Linked DNA regions of Danio rerio. The protein of the gene in region 3 interacts with the protein of the main gene of each other region in a pairwise test. Links are inferred from orthologs where the notes say so. Each region holds a gene or a part of one and is shown on either strand. Other genes may lie near its edges. The genes, in order: tchp, enkd1 and cdr2a.

Evidence for each region.
Region 1: the proteins of cdr2a (region 3) and tchp interact in binary tests that used the Homo sapiens proteins (3 or more experiments, as listed by UniProt). The two-hybrid records come from large-scale screens. The link is inferred for Danio rerio from reciprocal best matches to the Homo sapiens genes CDR2 and TCHP.
Region 2: the proteins of cdr2a (region 3) and enkd1 interact in binary tests that used the Homo sapiens proteins (3 or more experiments, as listed by UniProt). The two-hybrid records come from large-scale screens. The link is inferred for Danio rerio from reciprocal best matches to the Homo sapiens genes CDR2 and ENKD1.

Annotation. Positions count from the first base shown.
Region 1 is NC_133180.1:20,593,029-20,600,193, reverse strand, and holds the start of tchp (trichoplein keratin filament-binding protein), read right to left. Parts: upstream 4,357-7,165; 5' UTR 4,135-4,356; coding exon 3,944-4,134; exon of another isoform or gene 3,819-3,943; intron 3,728-3,818; exon of another isoform or gene 3,579-3,727; intron 2,101-3,578; coding exon 1,890-2,100; intron 1,794-1,889; coding exon 1,737-1,793; intron 209-1,736; coding exon 140-208; intron 10-139; coding exon 1-9. UniProt on the Homo sapiens protein: Tumor suppressor which has the ability to inhibit cell growth and be pro-apoptotic during cell stress. Inhibits cell growth in bladder and prostate cancer cells by a down-regulation of HSPB1 by inhibiting its phosphorylation.
Region 2 is NC_133183.1:3,680,307-3,686,363, forward strand, and holds the end of enkd1 (enkurin domain-containing protein 1), read left to right. Parts: intron 1-3,729; coding exon 3,730-3,890; downstream 3,891-6,057. UniProt on the Homo sapiens protein: Microtubule-binding protein which regulates microtubule organization and stability. Promotes the stability of astral microtubules and facilitates the proper orientation of the mitotic spindle.
Region 3 is NC_133178.1:62,632,350-62,638,714, forward strand, and holds part of cdr2a (cerebellar degeneration-related protein 2), read right to left. Parts: intron 4,004-6,365; coding exon 3,766-4,003; intron 1,051-3,765; coding exon 505-1,050; 3' UTR 1-504.

The DNA.
Region 1 (7,165 bases), on a different chromosome or scaffold from region 3:
CTCATCAGCCTGAGTATTACAGAACAGACTTATATTACACTGGAGATGTTGAACCTAGCAATCCTTTGTCTAGTAAGATTATTCAAACACAAGCAGCCGAGTTGCATTCATGCTTGTGCCGACATTTAACATGTCTTACCTGTTTTTTCTCTTGCTGTTGAACCTGCCACTGACTCACAATGTGATCTTTGTGCAGCTCTGACTCCACCTGCACACACACAATCATTCGAGACACTCAGATGTCTGATTGAATAATGCTCCAGAAGTGGTTGCGTGTGTTCGGAACCGAATCCTGAGCTCAGAGTTACAGTTCAGTCACGGAAGAAACTCATCACATGCTGTATTAGCTTACAACTTGCGTCTAACTACATTTTCATAAAAATCATGGCTTGATTCCTCTGTAGGAATGAATAATAAGAAACAATTATAATAATAATAATAATAATAATAATAATAAATTATATATAAAAAGTTACAAGTGAAAATAAACAAGCTATTCCTGTAGTTTGAGAGTTTAATAGCGCAAGTATAATGTTGACTTTTATGTGACACTATTATTCCAAAATTTATAGTACTCTATAATTTTTTAAGAATGGTTTTAAATAAATATATAATATATTATTATATTATTACATTTCATTTTATATTATCAACATTGAACATTATCGTGCTGTTTAATATTTTTATGGAAATTGATATGATGAGATTTTTTATTAAAAAAAGAATAGCATTTGCTTGACAAAAAACTTTTGTAACATAAATAATAATAATTATTATTAATTACTTTCATTTAAATAGAGCTTTTCGCTTTTCTGAGTACTCAAAACACTTTGCAAATTTTGGCGGGAATCTTCTCATCCACCACCAGGAGCCAGTGTGATGAAGCCCTGACAACAACGCTGTCTACCTTTACAGCTTAAAACGTGCTTTCGAGTGTAAAAATGTTGCACACTTTTTTATCAAATTTATTTACCTATGGAAGCCCATGTTGTTGTGTGTGTGGCTTAGCTCCACTTATCCAATAGGTGCCCATTTGTCTGAAATATTCTGAAGCAGCAATACTGTTCTGTACTGTCCTTATAGTTAGAGTGAGATTCACAATGTTTTTTAGAAAAAAGAAATTAAAAAATCCTCCTCGCTGCTTATAGTCGCAGTCTCTAATTAAAAATGAATGACTTCCGGCGACTTTGATGCTCTCGCGAATTTTGGTGTGAACGCAAACTGATATGGGGATGGTTAGTAAACCATGATGGACAGAAGCCATTGAGCAGATTTGGCCAGGACACGTTAATTTCAAAGGATTTTCATTGACCACAGAGAGTACCAGGACCTTGGTTTAACGTCTCATCCAAAAAAAAAGACGAGAAAAATGTCCCGTTCACTATACTGGGGCGTTAAGACCCCACACAGACAGCAGATTGAGCACCCCCAGCTGGACTCACTAACACCTCTTTCGGCAGCAACCTAGAGCTCCCATTTGTCTCACATCCAGGTACTGACCATGTGCAGCCCTGCTTTGCTTCAGATGGTGACTATATGAGAGCGGCAGAGCCAGCTGTACAAACTTTACTGGCGTTTTATTCAATTTAAAGCATACTTGCTTATTGACGTTATATATATTTTCCTTAATAAGAAAATGTTTCTTCACACTTTAAATACTCTTAATAACACCCATAACTAACATAGATGTCAAGTTTTGAGATATTCATTTATTTATATCTCAACGTATGACTGACCTTCCGCAGTTGTGAGTTGTTCTGCTTCCAGTGTTCCCTCAGCAGCTCCTGTGCAAGCTGAAGAAGATAAAACAAATCGACATATCAGATCAGATATGACATTCAATCAGATAACATAACAGGGCTTTATGACAGAACAATTAGTGTTCATACATTTTTCCTCCTCTCCTCCCTAGCAGAACGGAGGGCGTCTGTTTTTTCCACTAGCTGTCTGGCTAGCGTGTCTCTATCTGGATGAATATTTCTGAGCTCTGCCTCCAGCTGATCTCTCTCCTCCTGAAGCATCGTCCTCAGACGCTCCCTGCGCTCCTCTAGTTTCCGCTGCTTCTCCTCCCTCATGCGGTCCCGCTGAAATGCTGACATACTACAAGATCAAGAAAATAAGTTTTTTTTTAATTCACATAAATGTTTATTTGCAGTATGATGATGCAATTTATCCTCCTCCTTATAGGCATTAAGTATGCAGTGTTAAACTTTTGTATAGTTTTGTCAGATTTATGTTTTTTTTACCTCAAATCAAAGTGTGTAATGCTGTAATTCTCCTCATAGCTGTTTGGTTTAGTACTTGGTTTATAAAAATGTAACAACTACTTAAGAAAAATGTAAGGAAAGATACTTTCAGAACCAGTACTGCCAAAAAAACAGGAGTGAACTTTTACACACCATAAATTTTTTACTTTTCAGAAAGACATCTCAGCCTTGATAAAAGGTAAGAATATCATATTCAATAACGTGTCATATTTAACTATTTGAATAATTATTTTATTAAAGGGCTAGTTTAACCACAAATGAACATTTCCTCACCATTTGCTCAGCCTTAAGTGATTCTAAACTAAATTTCTTACTTTTGCAGAACTGTTGAACTGCTGTTTTCCAACATTCCTCAAAATATTTTACTTGTATTCAAACAAAAAAAAAGCATAAACAGGTTTGGAACAACTGGAAAATGAAAAAAATGACTTTGGGTGAACTATCCCTTTAAAGACCGCATGAACTGGAATCTGCGACCCTTTTTTCCCACTGTATTGTTACGCAGTTCCTAGAGAAAAAGAATATTAAATGAGAAAACAGTGGGTGTGGCTTGTTTTTTTGTACTGTGAGCTGATTGGATGTAGTATAGTAGGCATTTCACTCTGAAAGATTAGGAAAAGGGTTTGGGGAGAGTTATTGCAACCTAACAGATACCTCTTCCTCATCATTTCTGTTTGTTGTCAAAACTGACAGTTAGAGGGGGCATGGTTAAGTATTATAACCACACCCAATACCCAAGACGTTGTAATATGAGAATTTAACTGAAAACAAACAGGAAGTGCATTTTCAGACTTTTAAAAGGCAAACCATTTTTGCTTTTCTAAATGACATGCACAGAAGAATTGTTTACCACAAAACTGGCCATGTGATCTAAGAAAATTATAATGTTTAGTTTTGATTTCATTTTTTACTTTAAGTCCAAAAGAGTACAAAAGAGATTTTGAAGAATGTGGGACAAAACAGACTATTTTTTGGATGCCAATGGTTGCTGCTCTTCACTCTTCAATATCTTGCTTTGTGTTCAACAGAAGAAATAGATTCATAAAACTTTAGAAACACCAGAGTGTGAGTAAATGGTAATGAATTTTACATTTTGGGGTGAACTACCCCTTTAATGTATTTATTAGTAATGACAAGACATTATTTAGGCCAGATTCAAATTGAAAATACTGAGCATACATCTGCACATAGCATACAGTAATATTATTTTATTTTACATTGAATACAAAAACTAAACACAAAAGTCTCCACTGAAAACTACAGCATAGGCCAGGGATGTCCAAACTTGGTCCTGGATAGGGTGTCCTATGCAGGGTGTCAACACAGCTCTCTGGAAGTTTCTAGTTTACCTAGTTTGATCCGCTGGTTCAGGTGTGGATTGGGGTTGGAACTAAAATATGCAGGACACCGTCCCTCCAGGACCAAGTTTGGACACTCCTTGCATAGGCTACGCTGGTATGGTAAGTTTTGAAGCTGGTTTACGATGGTCTTGACCAGCAAAAACCAGCATTAAAACATACCTTACCAGCATATGCTGTTTTCTTTCAGCAGGATTATAACCCAAATCTGAACTAATGCTTTGGAAACTGGTGGAAAACTGTTGCTGTTGTTGGCTGAAGTGTCGGCAATAGTTTAAATAACACATTCAATGCATAAGCTACAGGAGGTATAAGCACCTGCGATGAAAGGACTGTCGTGAGCTCCACTGCGCCTGTTTACTGCTGCGGACATCCTGCTCCCTAAAGTACTGCGAGTGCTGCTCCCACTGTCGCCTCAGCCGCGCCTCCTGTTCCCGCTGCCGCACCAGCTGCTGCTCCAGAGTCCGCACCCGACTCGGCCAGTGTGCGGAGAGCGTCGGGAGAGCCATGGGTCTGAGGAGACCGAGTTTAACGTTACTTCTCACCGGAGATCTTGACTTGCGATCACTGGAGCAGTCATGGCAACATAATGCTGCAAATGAGGATTATTAACGTTATTGATCGCACTACAAAATAAGTCAGTAGATTTTAGAATCGACTTGCTAAGTGAGTTCTACATTCACGTTGATATTTGTACGTATTTTAACGAAACTGTAGTCAGAGGAAAGCGGTTAACGACGGCGGATGTGTAAACAAAACACCAAAAAAGAAGCGGTCCACTTGGTTACGCCTCTACTTCCTGGTTACCTACGGCGAGTGACGAGGTACAAGCAGGCAGGGGTTTATAGCTGGGGTATATTTCTACATTAATTTGTATCAGATAAATATAGCAATATCATCACATAAAAGTTTACAGTAGAAAACGTTTAAACCAATAAAAAAAACTAACAAATGAAGCAATAGATTAAATTAAGGCATGTTCAAAACATGGAGATGTCGCATAAGGGGAGTTCACCGAAATATTTACCTTAGTTTCTCAGATGGTTATAAACCGTTATGAGTTTCTTTCTTCTTTAAAAACAATCTTTTGTGTTCAACAGAAAGCTAAAAACCTGTAACCATTCACTTTCATTGTTGGAAAAACAAATAGGTATGTCTACTATGGATGTCAAGGTCCTGCAGGGGAAAAAAACCAGCTTAAAACAGCCTAAGTTGGTTCGCTGGTTTTAGCTGGTCGACCCGCTTGATTTTAGACAGGTTTCAGTTATTTCCAGCCTGGTCTTAGCTGGAAAGGCTGGGAGGTGACCAGCTAAAACCAGCTTGACCAGCCAAAACCAGCTGTCCAGCTTAAACCAGGCTGCTCAAGCTGGTTTTAGCTGGTCATTTTCTTAGCAGCCTGACCAGCTCAGATCAGGCTGGAAATAACTGGAAACCAGCCTGGAAAGGGCCAAAACCCCTTTAAAACCAGGCTAGTCGACCAGCTAAAACCAGCCAACCAGCCTTGCCCGGTTTAAGGTTTTTTTTTCAGTAGGGTGGTTACAGGTTTCCAGCTCTTTCCAGAAGAAATAGGCATACAATCAAACTGGTTTGACACAAGAGAATTAAGTGAGTGAAAATAATGACATAATTTTATTTATGGGGTGAACTGTCCTTAACTTTAAAGGGACTAAGCCAAGAAAATGAATGAATGAATTCTTAACTTTGCAGGGAAAAATTCATCTCTAGTTTTTGGGGTTATTCATGGTCTGACAAAAGTAATTAATTCTGAATTTGAATTTTAATATTCAGTGGTTGAACTGTGAGGGAAATAATGGTACATCATTATACCTAGTTAAAAAAAAGAAACATGTTACTGATTCTTTACAGTTTATTGGTTGAACCCATATTCACTAATAACAGTGTAATAGGGCTATTATATATTGTATAACATTGAATGAGAAATACCACATCTACATGTTCCATGGTGTCATTATCACCTCACATATTTACTCCTGTGGCCCCATAGGATAGTAAAGTCCATTGAATTCACTTAATTTGCTTAATTATACATTTTTGTCCAATAAAAAGTATATATAGTACAAATGTGAGAATCATGAATATAATCTTTATGTACTACATTCGCCATGTTGTCATTTTATAAGCATCAGTTTTGCATATCGCACACACCTGCAAGTACAAAGTCTGATAAATATCTTTAAAATGTATGCTGTAGTAACATTCAAAATGATATACACCTTATATTATCATATTATCAGCAATGTCCAAATGGAAATGTCCAATACATGTATTGCAGATGAGAAAACGCACTGATAAATATCTAAAAGATGTAAAGACAAACATCAAATAGACGTCTCCAAGATTGAATGAGCGTTATCAGTGGTTATCAGCAGATAGATATGTTATATGATAGATATGCGCCTACTAGTAGGCTCATAAGGCTGTTATCATTAATCCAAATTGTAAATCAGCTATAAATTATATACAGCTATGGCTGTAAATGAACGAGAATTATTTCGATTATTATTTTTTTTTCCATTAATTGTAGTTTAGTAACGTTTACCCCTACCCCAACCCTAAACCCAGCCATCACAGTACTGTAAAAGCAGATGTGGATCTGAAGTCATCTTTATCAGTATAACCGATTAACCATGATAATTATATTAAATATTACATTTTCCATTAATTGTATTTTATTAACGTCTACCCCAACCCTAAACCCAACCGCCACTAATATAAAAACAGATTTGGGTGTGGAGTCTTCTTTGTTAGTATAGCTAATTAACCATGTGGATGTATGATAACAGCCTTCTGAGACTAACAGGAAGTTGCAGAAGGCCCTTACTGACCCATATCTATCAGCCGATAACCACTCATAATGCCCATTCAATCGAGTGATAACATTTGAATCGGGTATCTCTCTGGGGTGCTTTAATACCGTTCACAAATCCTCTCTTGTGGCCTCGTGTGATAGTAAAGTGTCCATTGAATGCCCACTTCATAATCTCACTAAAAGAAATAGGACAGATCGTTCCTTTTTATAGTACTAGCAAATGCTCTGAGAAAATTACTGAAGTAGCAACAGTGAAAGTAATGAAAATTCAAACTTGCTCATCGTCACTTTAAAGAAATGACTATTAATATTTAAGAAGTTTACAACCTTGGATGCAGTCTTAGTCTTTACACAATAAGCATGTAAGAGTGATTGATTTGTGTATTTTACAGTTATTATTGCATGAATTGTGGCCAACCCCATTACATTAATGGACATTTAATCTTATAAACAACTTTTAACTCTGCTAGGATGATTAAAGAGCCCATATTATACATGAAATAGGGTCATATCCTGGTTGTAAGAGTCTCCAACAACAGTCTAATATGCATGCAAGGTCAAAAAACACTTTCATGGTCTTATAATCTGCATTTATTTTTACCTAATTATCCCAGCGACTCCTGTATGAATCGTCCAGTGATTCATTTGTTCCCAAACCCCTCCTTAGCGCGGAGCTAATCTGCGCTGATTGGACCGATGACAGTCTGTCG
Region 2 (6,057 bases), on a different chromosome or scaffold from region 3:
GTGGTTTTGTGTGTGTGTGTTTGTGTTTTTGTTTAAGTGTGTGTGCATATGTTTTTGTGTGCGTGCATATTTGAGTGACTGTGAATCAGTGAATCTTCTGTGTTTTTGTGTTTACGCGTACGTGACTGTGTTTTTGTGTGACTGTGTGGTCCTGGTATTCATCACATGAAGACTAAATATCTTTTCAACAGGGGGGTTCGAGTGTTTCGAACGAACCACCCCCCCACGACCAAAAGGTCTAGAATTTGTCCTTTGAATTATTTTATATATTATACAGTTGAAGTCAGAATTATTAGCCCCCTTTAAAAATTTTTTCTTCTTTTTTAAATATTTTGCAAATGATGTATAACAGAGCAAGGAAATTTTCACAGTATGTCTGATAATATTTTTCCTTCTGGAGAAAGTCTTATTTGTTTTATTTCGGCTAGAATAAAAGTAGTTATTAATTTTTTAAACACCATTTTAGGGACAAAATTATGAGCCCCTTTAAGCTATATTTTTTCTCGATATTCTACAAAACAAACCATCATTATACAATAACTTGCCTAATTACCCTAACCTGCCTAGTTACCCTAATTAACCCAGTGAAGCCTTTAAATGTCACTTTAAGCTGTATAGAAGTGTCTTGAAAAATATCTAGTCAAATATTATTTACTGTCATCATGGTAAAGTTAAAATAAATCAGTTATTAGAAATGAGTTATTAAAACTATTATGTTTAGAAATGTGTTGAAAAAATGTTCTCTCTGTTAAACAGAAATTGAGGAAAAAATAAACGCCCTAATATTTCAGGGGGGCTAATAATTCTGACTTCAACTGTATATATAATTACACACACATATATATATACATACATACATACATATATAAAATAATTACTGTAATATATTTTTATTCAATATAGGTAATAAAGTGTAATTTTTAATAACTCTGGCCAGTAATTTGAATCCCATAGAGCCTCAAAGCCTCAATAATGTGACGCGAGTCTAGTGACATAACCCACTGAGTAGTAACGTGAATCTTTGATGCGACATCCATACTAAGTAAGGAAATAGGTTGAAAAGAGCAAGAGAGGCAGAAAAGGCAGGCAGCTGTGTCATTATAGCAAAATATTGAACATATGTTCAAAAAGACTGCCAAACAGGGTAAGGCTAAAGTTACTTACTCCCTCACAGATGAAAATCTGTCCCTATCTGTGAGGTTCTAGGCTAACTGGCCGCATTAGCTGGGAAGTCCTGTTTATTTATTGACTTGTCCAGTACATGACCTCCCTTTGCTTATTTTTTTCAAATAACTGTCCTACGAAGGCTTTAATAGCCAGCGGAGTCCTCAGCTGTCAGATGTCACTTCACAGCAAAAGGCGCTAATCCCATCACGTCTGTGTTTTTGAGGCTGTTTGGTCACTTCATTCGTTTTATTCTGATCGGATATAAATCCGATCGCTCAAACCACTTCAGAAGGTGATCTGGGATGCATTCCAGATGAAATTGGACAGGTTTTTAGACAAAATTAATATAAATAAAACTAATTATGACCTGGAGATAATCTGACCTGCGCCTGAAACACCTGTGGGTGCGCTTTTACAGCCAAAATTCTATTAAAATATGTTTACTGTAAGCATTAAACGTGTTCTAACATTTCAGGCCTGTAGCCAGGGGGGGGGTTCGGAAGACCCACCCCACACTGACAAAGGTCCAGAATTTGTCCCATATATGAGCTCATTTGTCCTATTCTGACTGCTATGCCATCATAAATAATGAAAATAATCCATCAAAAAAGGCTTTAAGACCAAACGTAATCCTCTGATAGCTGTTGCTTCGACTCTAATCTGATGTAAGAGAAGTCTTCTTTCACTACTGTATCGTTTTTAAACAGAGAAAACATTTTACAGCCAACTTTATTTTAAATCTTGGACCTTATTTCTGAAATAATAATGAGCAATAAAAAGGCGTGAAGCACCAGAAGCGGACCATAATAAATTAATTTGAATATATTTTGCCTGTTGTTGACATCCAGGAATTTTCAAATGTACTTTTTTTTTTTTTTACCGAAGAGGCTAGAAAAATTCAGAAGAATTTATTATTATTGTTTTTATTATTATTATTATGTTTTAATTATAATTTTTTATTGAAATGGCCAAATTGTGACTGAGGACAGTTGAATGTGCTGACAAGTTTGTTTTTTGTCTAATAAATGACAGTAGGCTACAGTTTTTTTACTTTAAAACTTTAACAGATTGCAAGCTATTTAATCTTTCTCGCCTGAAAGCCAAAACAAAGGTACGCGAGACGCTGATCAGAGACATGCTTTTTGCTGACGATGCTGCAGTCACCACACACACCCAGGAAGAACTACAGTTGCTGATGAGCCGCTTTTCCATGGCCTGCAAAGACTTTGGGCTGACCATCAGTTTGAAAAAAACAAATGTCTTGAGCCAGGACACTGCCACTCCACCAGCCATCACAGTAGATGATTACCAGCTTGATGTCGTCCACCAGTTCACGTACTTGGGCTCCACCATCACCGATAACCTCTCCCTGGATGCTGAGCTTGACAGGAGGATCGGGAAGGCAGCCTCTACTCTAGCCCGCCTGACAACCCGAGTGTGGACAAACCATAGGCTGACAACTGCAACAAAGATGGCAGTGTACAACACTTGCGTCATCAGCACTCTGCTGTATGGGAGTGAGACATGGACCACCTATGCAAGACAGGAGAGGAGACTGAACACCTTCCACCTAAGAGGTCTGCGTCGCATTCTGGGCATTACCTGGCAGGACAAAGTCTCCAATGTCAAAGTCTTGACTCGAGCCGGCCTTCCCAGCATGGATACCATGCTCCGACAACGTCGCCTGCGCTGGCTTGGTCATGTGCGCCGTATGGAGGATGGGAGAATTCCAAAGGATATCCTTTACGGAGAACTCTCATCTGGGAAGAGAACCACAGGACGCCCATTTCTGAGATTTAAAGATGTCGTGAAGAGGGACATGAAGGCCCTTGACATAAACACCAAGTCCTGGGAAGACCTCGCAGCAGACCGCCTGAAATGGAGGTGCACCCTGACCAAACAGCTCAAGTCAGGTGAGAAGAACATTATGCGTGCGTCAGAGGACAAGCGAGTTCACCGAAAGGTGCAGAGCGTCAGCCAGGGAGCCACCTATCAATGCGACTGCTGCGGTAAAGAATGCCTCTCCCGTATTGGTCTCTTCAGCCACCAACGACGCTGTCTCAGACAATCAGTCATGCCTTAAGATAAGAGCTAGGATACGTCATCCATGTTCAACACTGACCGACGGAGGCCTACTAAGATGAGATCTGACTAGCTAATCCAGCAAAAATGTCACCAAAATGCAGTATTTAAATCTCATTGTTAAATAGAAACTGAGGCGTGTAACTGCAAAAAGGTCCACTTTTTGAGAAAAACAGAACCACCTCTTTCACCAGGCTGGCTACAGGCCTGTCCAAGTATAGCATTAGCAGTAATTTTTTACCTTGTGGGGACAACTTTGTGGTCTAATGGGGAAAAACAGCTCATAAATTAGACAGAACAAAGTATTTTGACATTGTATTTTGACATGACTGTTTTCAGTGGGGGTTGGGTTGGGTATGGGGAGTGAAATATACAGTAAAGAGCCCAAAACATGAAAGCCCAACTTTTGTGTGTGTGTGTGTGTGTGTGTGTGTGTGTGTGTGTGTGTGTGTGTGTGTGTGTGTGTGTGTGTGTGTGTAGCTCACAGGTCTCTGGTCAGTGAACTGCTGTCTCTCCCAGTGAAAGCGGACACTCTGAGCATTCGTTCTAGACGGGCTGATCTGGACCAGCGTCTCTCTGAGGTGGAGGAGGCCATCAAGATCTTCTCACGGGACAAAGTCTATGTGAAAGTGGACTCTTAAACTGCTCTGAGATCAGACCGTTTCTACTGCGCTTATATGAGTTTCATGAGTTCCCTGCATTTCAGTGCTGGATGCTTTAGTTGATTTATTTCTTACTAATGATATTCTGTATTTATGCGTGCTTTGGTAAATCATCATTGTTAAAAGTTCCAGTTAGGATGTGAAAAGTAGTGCTGGCCAAAAATGAATCACGATTAATAGCACCTAAAATAAAAGTTTGTTTTGACATCATTTAAGTGGGTGTACTGTTTATATTTATTACGTATATATAAATACACACATGCATGAATATATTTGAAAAAAGTTTATGCATATATAGATATAAAATAAATATGTCTATGATACTATTTATATATACATTAATATATCAATGTAGCAAAGCTGTTTTGTATAGTTTTGTTATTAATATTATTTATCTTGAATGTGATTAATCGCAATTAATCTTTGACCAGCACTATTAAATGTCGAAAATTATGACATGTGAAAACTATGAATATTAAAATTCTAAATTATGAGACAAAAATTGACATTTGGATGTTAATTAGATGCTAAATGAAAGATTAAAAATAAGAATAAAATCCTAAATTAAAGTTATAATGACATAAATAATTAAGATTATTAGATTTATTACCTTTTTTTTTTTTTTTTACTTTTTTCATCAGTTATGACATAGTGGTATGGTATAACATGCTAAAAATATGATATACTACATTATAATTATCACAAGTCAAAAATTTGAAGAAAAACACAATTTGAAAATTAAATAAAATGTATTATTATATCTATGAGATAAAATTTTTAATGACAAGAGTTTTTTTTATCATTATGACTTATTATTTCATAAATTTTGAAAGAAAATATCAAAATTGTGACACACTCAGACAGTTATGAGAGTAGTTATTAGAATTTTGTTTACAATCACATTAATAGCAAAAAAATGTGAATTATTAAAGTACAATTATGACATACTAAATCATAATTCTGAAAGAAATATGACAATATTAATTTGTCATAATAGTGACTTAGTTTGACATGGAGTCTTAATTATGACAGTATTATTTTAAATGTAAGATAGTATATAGTTATGACATAAATCATAAAAAGTCATGAGAATTTAAATTATTATTAATTAAAATGTTCCTATTTTGTCGTAATTCTGGACTTCTTTTGTCATTAAATGTCATAATTTAACATTTACGTCATTATTTTCTAATTCATGATGTAGATATCCTCAATTTTGTTAAGAATAAAATTTCTCTGATATCATTTTTAACATTTTATTCAATAATTGTGCATTTTATGTCATAGTTATGATTTACCAAAGTATGTTTTCATCTAATGTGACAGAAATCGGTTTTCATGGTGGATTTTCTTCATGATAGTTCATAATTCTCTGTAAATGAGGGTGTTTTTACTTGCAGATTGTGTGATCAAAGTATTCCTGCTGCCATGTACAGTTACAGTTATTAAATGTCTATTATGGCAAGGTGCTATCCTTCATGCATAATGTCAGTCAAATACATTTTGATAGAGCAGTCTTTACATGGCAGTGGTGCTTGTTTTCATTCATTCATTTTATTTGGCTCAGTCCCTTTGATTCATCAAGGATTCTCACAGTGGAATGAACCGCCAACTATTCCAGCATATGTTTTACACAGCGGATGCCCTTCCAGCTGCAACCCAGTACTTGGAAGCACCCATACACACTCATTCCTCATTCACACACACACTACGGCCAATTTAGTCCCTCAATTTCCCTACAGCGCATGTGCTTGGACTGTAGGGGAAATCGACGCACCTGGAGAAAAGCTCACGCCAACATAAGAAGAACATGCAAACTCCACACAGAAATGCCAAATGACCCAGCTGGGACTTCTTCTTGCCGTGACAGTGCTAATCACTGAGCCACATTTGTCAATGTGTAATCTTATATTTCACCTGATTTTCTGTTTTAAACAGCAACAGCACGGTTTGTTTTGATCATGTATGAAGTTTTTAATTCCAAAAAGTGGCTTAAAATATGTTTGCATTACACTATAAACTGTAATAGTAATACCTTTGTGTTAATGCAGCACATAAAAGTCAGAAAATTGCTTACTTTTAGAGTAAAACCTCATAATTTTGCTTAAATTGTGTTTTTTTCTGTCTGTCTTAATGATATATTGAC
Region 3 (6,365 bases):
TCATTAGAGTAAGACGTATAAAAGTAGAAAAACCCCATTCAGACCATTCAGGTTCTGGATGTGGACGGTTTGGTGTTGTATACTGTGTATAGGCACAGCTGTTATAGTGCAATAGACACACACACAAACACACTGTTAAATCACATTAGCAAGTGCAAAGTCACTACACTCAACTTAAAGGGACAGATCACCCAAAAACAATGACCATTTACTCATAATTTACTCAAGTGCTTCTTCTGTTGAACGCAAAACAAGAAAAATGTTGGGAAAAAGCAGCCATTGGCATCCATAGTAGGAACAAACAAATACTATGGATGTCAATGGATGTTTTCCCAGCATTCTTCAAGATATCCTCTTTTCTGTTCAGCACTCTTCAGTTCATCTTCCTTAGTGTTCAACAGAGGAAAGAAACCCAAACCGTTTTGCAACAAGCAAATGATGAGTAAATGGTGACAGAATTTCATCAGAATTTTGGGTGAACTCCCCCTTTAAAACAGCCACACCTTACTGGGCCTGCAAAGCCCTGTTCTCACTCAGGTCCTCTTTGGTCTTCTGAATGCAGGTGAAGATCTCTTTGAACAGGGCTTTGTACTCGGGCTGATGGAGCTGGTCGGAGAGGCAGGCGGTGTCTGTGGCGGAGCAGCTCTGGGATTTGGGCGTCTGGACGGCTTTATGGCTGAGGCTGTTGGCCCCGTGCTGGCAGCGGCGCAGCAGCTCCTCGTATTTGAGCTGCAGGGCGCTGTACTGAGCGTCCACCTCATTGAGCAGAGAGATGCCGCGCTGCTTGACGGCCTGAGCTCTGCGAATGCAGGAGCGCTCGTGTCCACGCCGGATCTCCTCCGCTCGAGCTCCTCTGACGTAACTATCACTGCTGCAGCGGCAGCGCCCCTGAGGAAACTCCGCCTCCTCCTCACATTCAGGCTCCACCCCCAGCCGCTCCTCTGCACTGAAGAAAACACTGTCAGGCAGCAGCGTGTCGGTCAGTCTGGAGCTGGAAGACTCGGAGCGCCACAGCAGACGCAGCTCCTCCACCTCGGCCTCCAGCTCCGCCTGTCAAAAGTGAAACCGCATGTCACAATGTGTGTCACATGTTACAAACACTAAAACCCAACCTGAAACTGTTATATAATGTCGAGCTTGATGAAAACACTCGCATTCTGCCTTTCAGCTCATAAAAATACTTTGGTCATTTGCAGAAAACATCATTAGCCTATGCAACAACCACATGTTTTTGTTTCATTTCATTTCAAATTCAACATCACTGAGTGCAAACAAAGGCAGCATGTATCATGCAAGTATGGATGATAGCTTGTTTTATTGGGCGGAATGTTATATAACAACTAGCGCTGTCAAAATTAGTGCGCTAACGCATGCGATTAATTTTAAATAATTAACGCAGGGGTGTCCAAACTACGGCCCGCGGGCCATCTGCGGCCCGCGATCAGTTTTGTGGCGGCCCGCAAGGCTTTTTATGAATATTTTATAGAAACTGGCCCACTATACAAAAATGTGTGTAATTCAATAAATAACCACCGGGTGTCGCTATTACATGCCTTCAATTAGGCAGCAGTTCCTGTTATGAAGTAAAACGGACCGAACAACAAACTGAAAGAAACATAATTCATAATCAGGTTTAGGCGAGCCATGGCACAAGCAAGAACAAGGAAAATCAACAGTGAGTGCAGGAAATTTCAGTCAGGATGGGGCAAAGAATATTTCTTCACAGAGGTCAGCGGGAAATGTGTCTGTTTAATTTGCCAGGAATCAGTTACAGTAATGAAGGAATATAATATTAAAAGACATTATAAAATAAATCATCAGGCTTTCAGCTCTTACACTGGTGCCGAACGAGATCAAAAAGTAAAACAAATAGCAGCTGGCTTATCAGCTCAACAACAGCAGTTTTTTTTCGTGCTAATAAAGTGCAAGAAAATTCTACGCTGGCTAGTTATGATGTAGCCCAGCTAATCGCACAGCACAGGAAACCTTTCACTGAAGGAGAATTTATAAGGGAGGAGTGTTGCAAGTGTAATTTGCCCAGAGAAGATTCAAGATTTTAAAAACGAAAGTCTTTCTAGAAACACAGTTGGACGATGAATTAAAATAACAAATTAAAATAATTCTATAACACACACACACACAGGCTACATACATACATACATACATATATACACATATACATATTCACACACACACACACACACACACACACACACACACACACACATATATATATATATATATATATATATATATATATATATATATATATATATATATATATATATATATATATATATATATATATATATATATATATATATGCACGTGTCTGTGTAATGTATTTAATATATGGCCCGGGAATAACTTTTTTTTTTTTTTGCTTCTGGCCCTCGGCCCAAAAAGTTTGGACACCCCTGAATTAACGGGTTAAAATAAATTTACGCAGTTGCAGGTTTTTTTTACTTCCTGTTGTGGTGGACGTGTGTTCAACATGCAAGAAATGTGGATAAGACCAAGGAACCACTTTTTGAAGGCAAGTTTCAGTATAAAACAATTAGTCGCATAACCAGGCTCTCCAGAGTTTCATGCAATTTCGGGTGTTTCATTTTTAACTTTCGACATCTGTTGTAAGTTGATACCGCATGGCGAACAGAAAGAAAATCCTCCGCATTTCGTGACTCGGTGTTGCTTTAAGGTAATAAAATCACTGCTTAGGCTACACGGTAGAATTTTAATAAGAGTATTATCTTAATCATATTAAAATCGGAGTATTGGTGTCTTATGCGAATGTACTCAGAAAGTCTCTGATGAAGTCGCGAGCTGTCAAAGACAGGGCATTACTCTGCCTTTCAGCATGAACCCTCCAAGTTTAGCATGTTTCCTCATTAAACGCAACAAAAGCGTATGCTTCACGATGTTGTGTCAGAATCCTTGTGAAATACAGTAATACTTTAGGACGCTTAGTTTAGGCAAATTTGATGAACGTGATCATGCGTGTTGAATCTGAGGGGAGTCGCTCCAGTATGGAAGGCCGTTGGGGCCAAAACGTCTGCAGCGCGTTGTGTGTGTGTCTGTGTCAGGCCGGTTGAAGGGTGTCAGGGGTGGAGTGAGCGACATATCTGAGTAGGGGCGTGTGCGCTCGAGACGTACCTGAAGGACGGTGGGGGTGAGTGGTGCGACATAGGCTACCTGAAGAGGTAGGAGGGATCCTGTCAAGCCAGGATCTTGATGGTTTATTGTGGGTATGTTGTTTACGTGAAGAAATCTGTGTTACAAGTTAAACAAAAATTCTAATAAACAATTATATTTTGAATTTTAATTCTAATAAACAATTATATTTTAAATTTAAATAGTTTTTGTCTTGCGTTTACATTAATTTTACATTTGAATAGCCAAAATTACAAGTTTCAGTATTTTAAATGCGATTAATCGCGATGAATTTTTTTAAAAAGGTGCGATTAATTAGTTAATTTTTTTTAATCGATTGGCAGCACTAATAACAACCAAAGTCTCTTTTAAGGGAAGCCATTTCACTCGGCGGCCATCTTTGAAACGCCTCTCGGGCAGTATGCTCAGGCATTCTGTCTGAGCGGAGAAACATCAAATTCATCAAAGCTTAAGATCTCATTACATATTTGGAATCACCAGTAAAATTAAACATCATCTGTCTCTTAAGTTTCATTTCTAAACGTCCGAATCGAAAAAAAAAAAGACATATTTTTAGGTTGCCCAAGCTAATGCGCTAACGGGTGGAGGCTGTACCTGTCTGCGGCGGGCTCCCTCCAGCAGGCTCAGGCGGTCCTCCAGAGCACTGTTCTCCAGAACAGTCAGCTCAGTCTCTCGCTCTGCCTCCACCCGTCGGGCTCGCTCCGTCGCCAGCTGCTGCTTCAGCTTGTGGAGGCTGTGCTGAAGGGTAGAGGTCTCCTCTTCCTCCTCTACACACCGCTCACTAAGCACAGGCCACGACCGCTCCTCATGCAGACCCTCTGAGGTCCAGCTCCTGCAGGACAACAGGCATTTCATGAGGGAAATATTCAATGTAGCAGAACTAGTTCACTGACTGGAGACATCATAAACACATCATAAAACAAGTGTTATGAATGTAAAGTTAAGGTACGATGTTTTTAAATTCATACATTCATAATGTACATGCAAGAGTATTAAAAAATACAATCAAACATCAAAAATCACAACCAAATTATTTTTTTTTTATAATAATAATAATATTACCAATAATACTATTAATAATAATAATTATTATAATCATAATAATATTAATATCAATAATAATACAATTAATAATATCAATAATAATAATAATAATAATAATAATATAATTAATAATAATAATAATAATAATAATAATAATAAAAATTAATTTTAATAATATAAACAATAATGATACTACTACTACTACTACTACTACTACTACTACTACAAATATTAATATTAACAATAATAATATAATTAATAATAACAACAGCAACAACAACAACAACAACAATATACTTAATTATAAAAATAATAATAATATGATTAATAATAATACTAATAATATCAGTAATAATATTAATAATCATAATAATAATTATTATAATATAATTATTAATAATAATTATATAAGTAATAATAGAAAATAATATAATATAATAATAATAATAATAATAATAATAATAATATCATTAATAATATTAATAATATCATCATTAATAATAATAATAGTAATAATAATAATAATAGTAATAATAATAATAAACTAAGCCTTAAGGACACATTTTTCCTTTTAACAGGAATCAAATTAAATTTGAGAAGAAAAAAATCTAAAGTATATTGTCAATTGTAAGTTGTATATTTATTCAATTAAACTGTAGTTTAAAGTGTTAAACAACAAATATCATAATAACAGACTTTGTTTACTAAAACTGACTTTTCCCATATATATATATATATATATATATATATATATATATATATATATATATATATATATATATATATATATATATATATATATATAATGAATATTTATATTATATTTATATTTAGGCCCACAGAGATATATGCATGTATCAAAAAACAAAAACAAAAAAAGTATATATATATATATATATATATATATATATATATATATATAAATAATAAGAGGGGGAGGACTATAAAATAAAGTATTCATTTTCATTATGGAGTTTATTTGTATGGAGCTATTTAGGTCACACTGTTTGAGAACGCATTCAAGAGCAAAGCAGCTTTTCAAAGTAACGGTTACTTAAAGTGGAGCATTCCAAGGTGGAGTTGACATTCTTCACAAGCCTTACAGTGCAAACAACACAGAAATAAACCATTTGATTCCCAGGTCTGGCTTCTAAGGCTTGAAAAAGAACATAAACTCCACCTTGGAAAACTGAAACTATACTCATGTTATGGTGATGCACTTCATTTTTATGTTAGGCATCAAAATTATAAAGTAGAATACACAAAAGACATTCATTTTGAGATTCCAGAAGTAAAACAAATAAGTGTTTAAAGTCCATGTGAACCCAAAGTTGATGAAACTTATATTTCAGCATGTTGATGTGCTTCCAACGGAAATGGAATATTGAGTAGGGGGCGGGGCTTTCTTTTGCACATCATTCCCTTATAGCAAACTAACGGTGTGAGGGTATTCATTTGCAGTTGCTATGGAAACCCTCAGGTTGACATCAATAGAAGGATCTCAACCCCAAACACGGAAGCAAATGATCAGATTTTGATTGAAGATGACCAAAACAAACACATTTTCAGTGGATTAACTTACACGGATTGATTATTTACCATAAAAATAACAATGAGAGCTAGCAAAATAAACATCGTAATTACTGAAGACACGTGATCTTAAAATTAAAAAAATCTTGTAATTTTTATTAATCAACTAATGTTAGCTGAAATAAGCACAAAAAATTCCCATTTTCAAGGTGAGGTGCTAATGGTTTAATCCATTTTAATGATCTATACTAAGCTAGGCTAAAAGTGCACCCACAAGAGCTAGCGATCGGCTGAATGGATTCAAATATAAGACTTTAATTGCAACAGCACTAATTAACATGTGAGCTGAAATGAGCATAAACAATTCCCATTTTTTAAGCAAGATGCTAACGGTCTAATCTAATTCAATGATTTATGCTTAGCTAAGCTAAAAGTGCTCCCACCAGACCTAGCGATCATCTAAATGGATTCAAAAATTAGGACTTTTTTGCAACAGCACTAATTAACATGTTAGCTGAAATAAACATAAACAATCACATTTTTATAGTGAGATGCTAACGGTCTAATCTGATTCAATGATCTATGCTAAGCTAAGCTAAAAGTGTTCCCGCCAGACATAA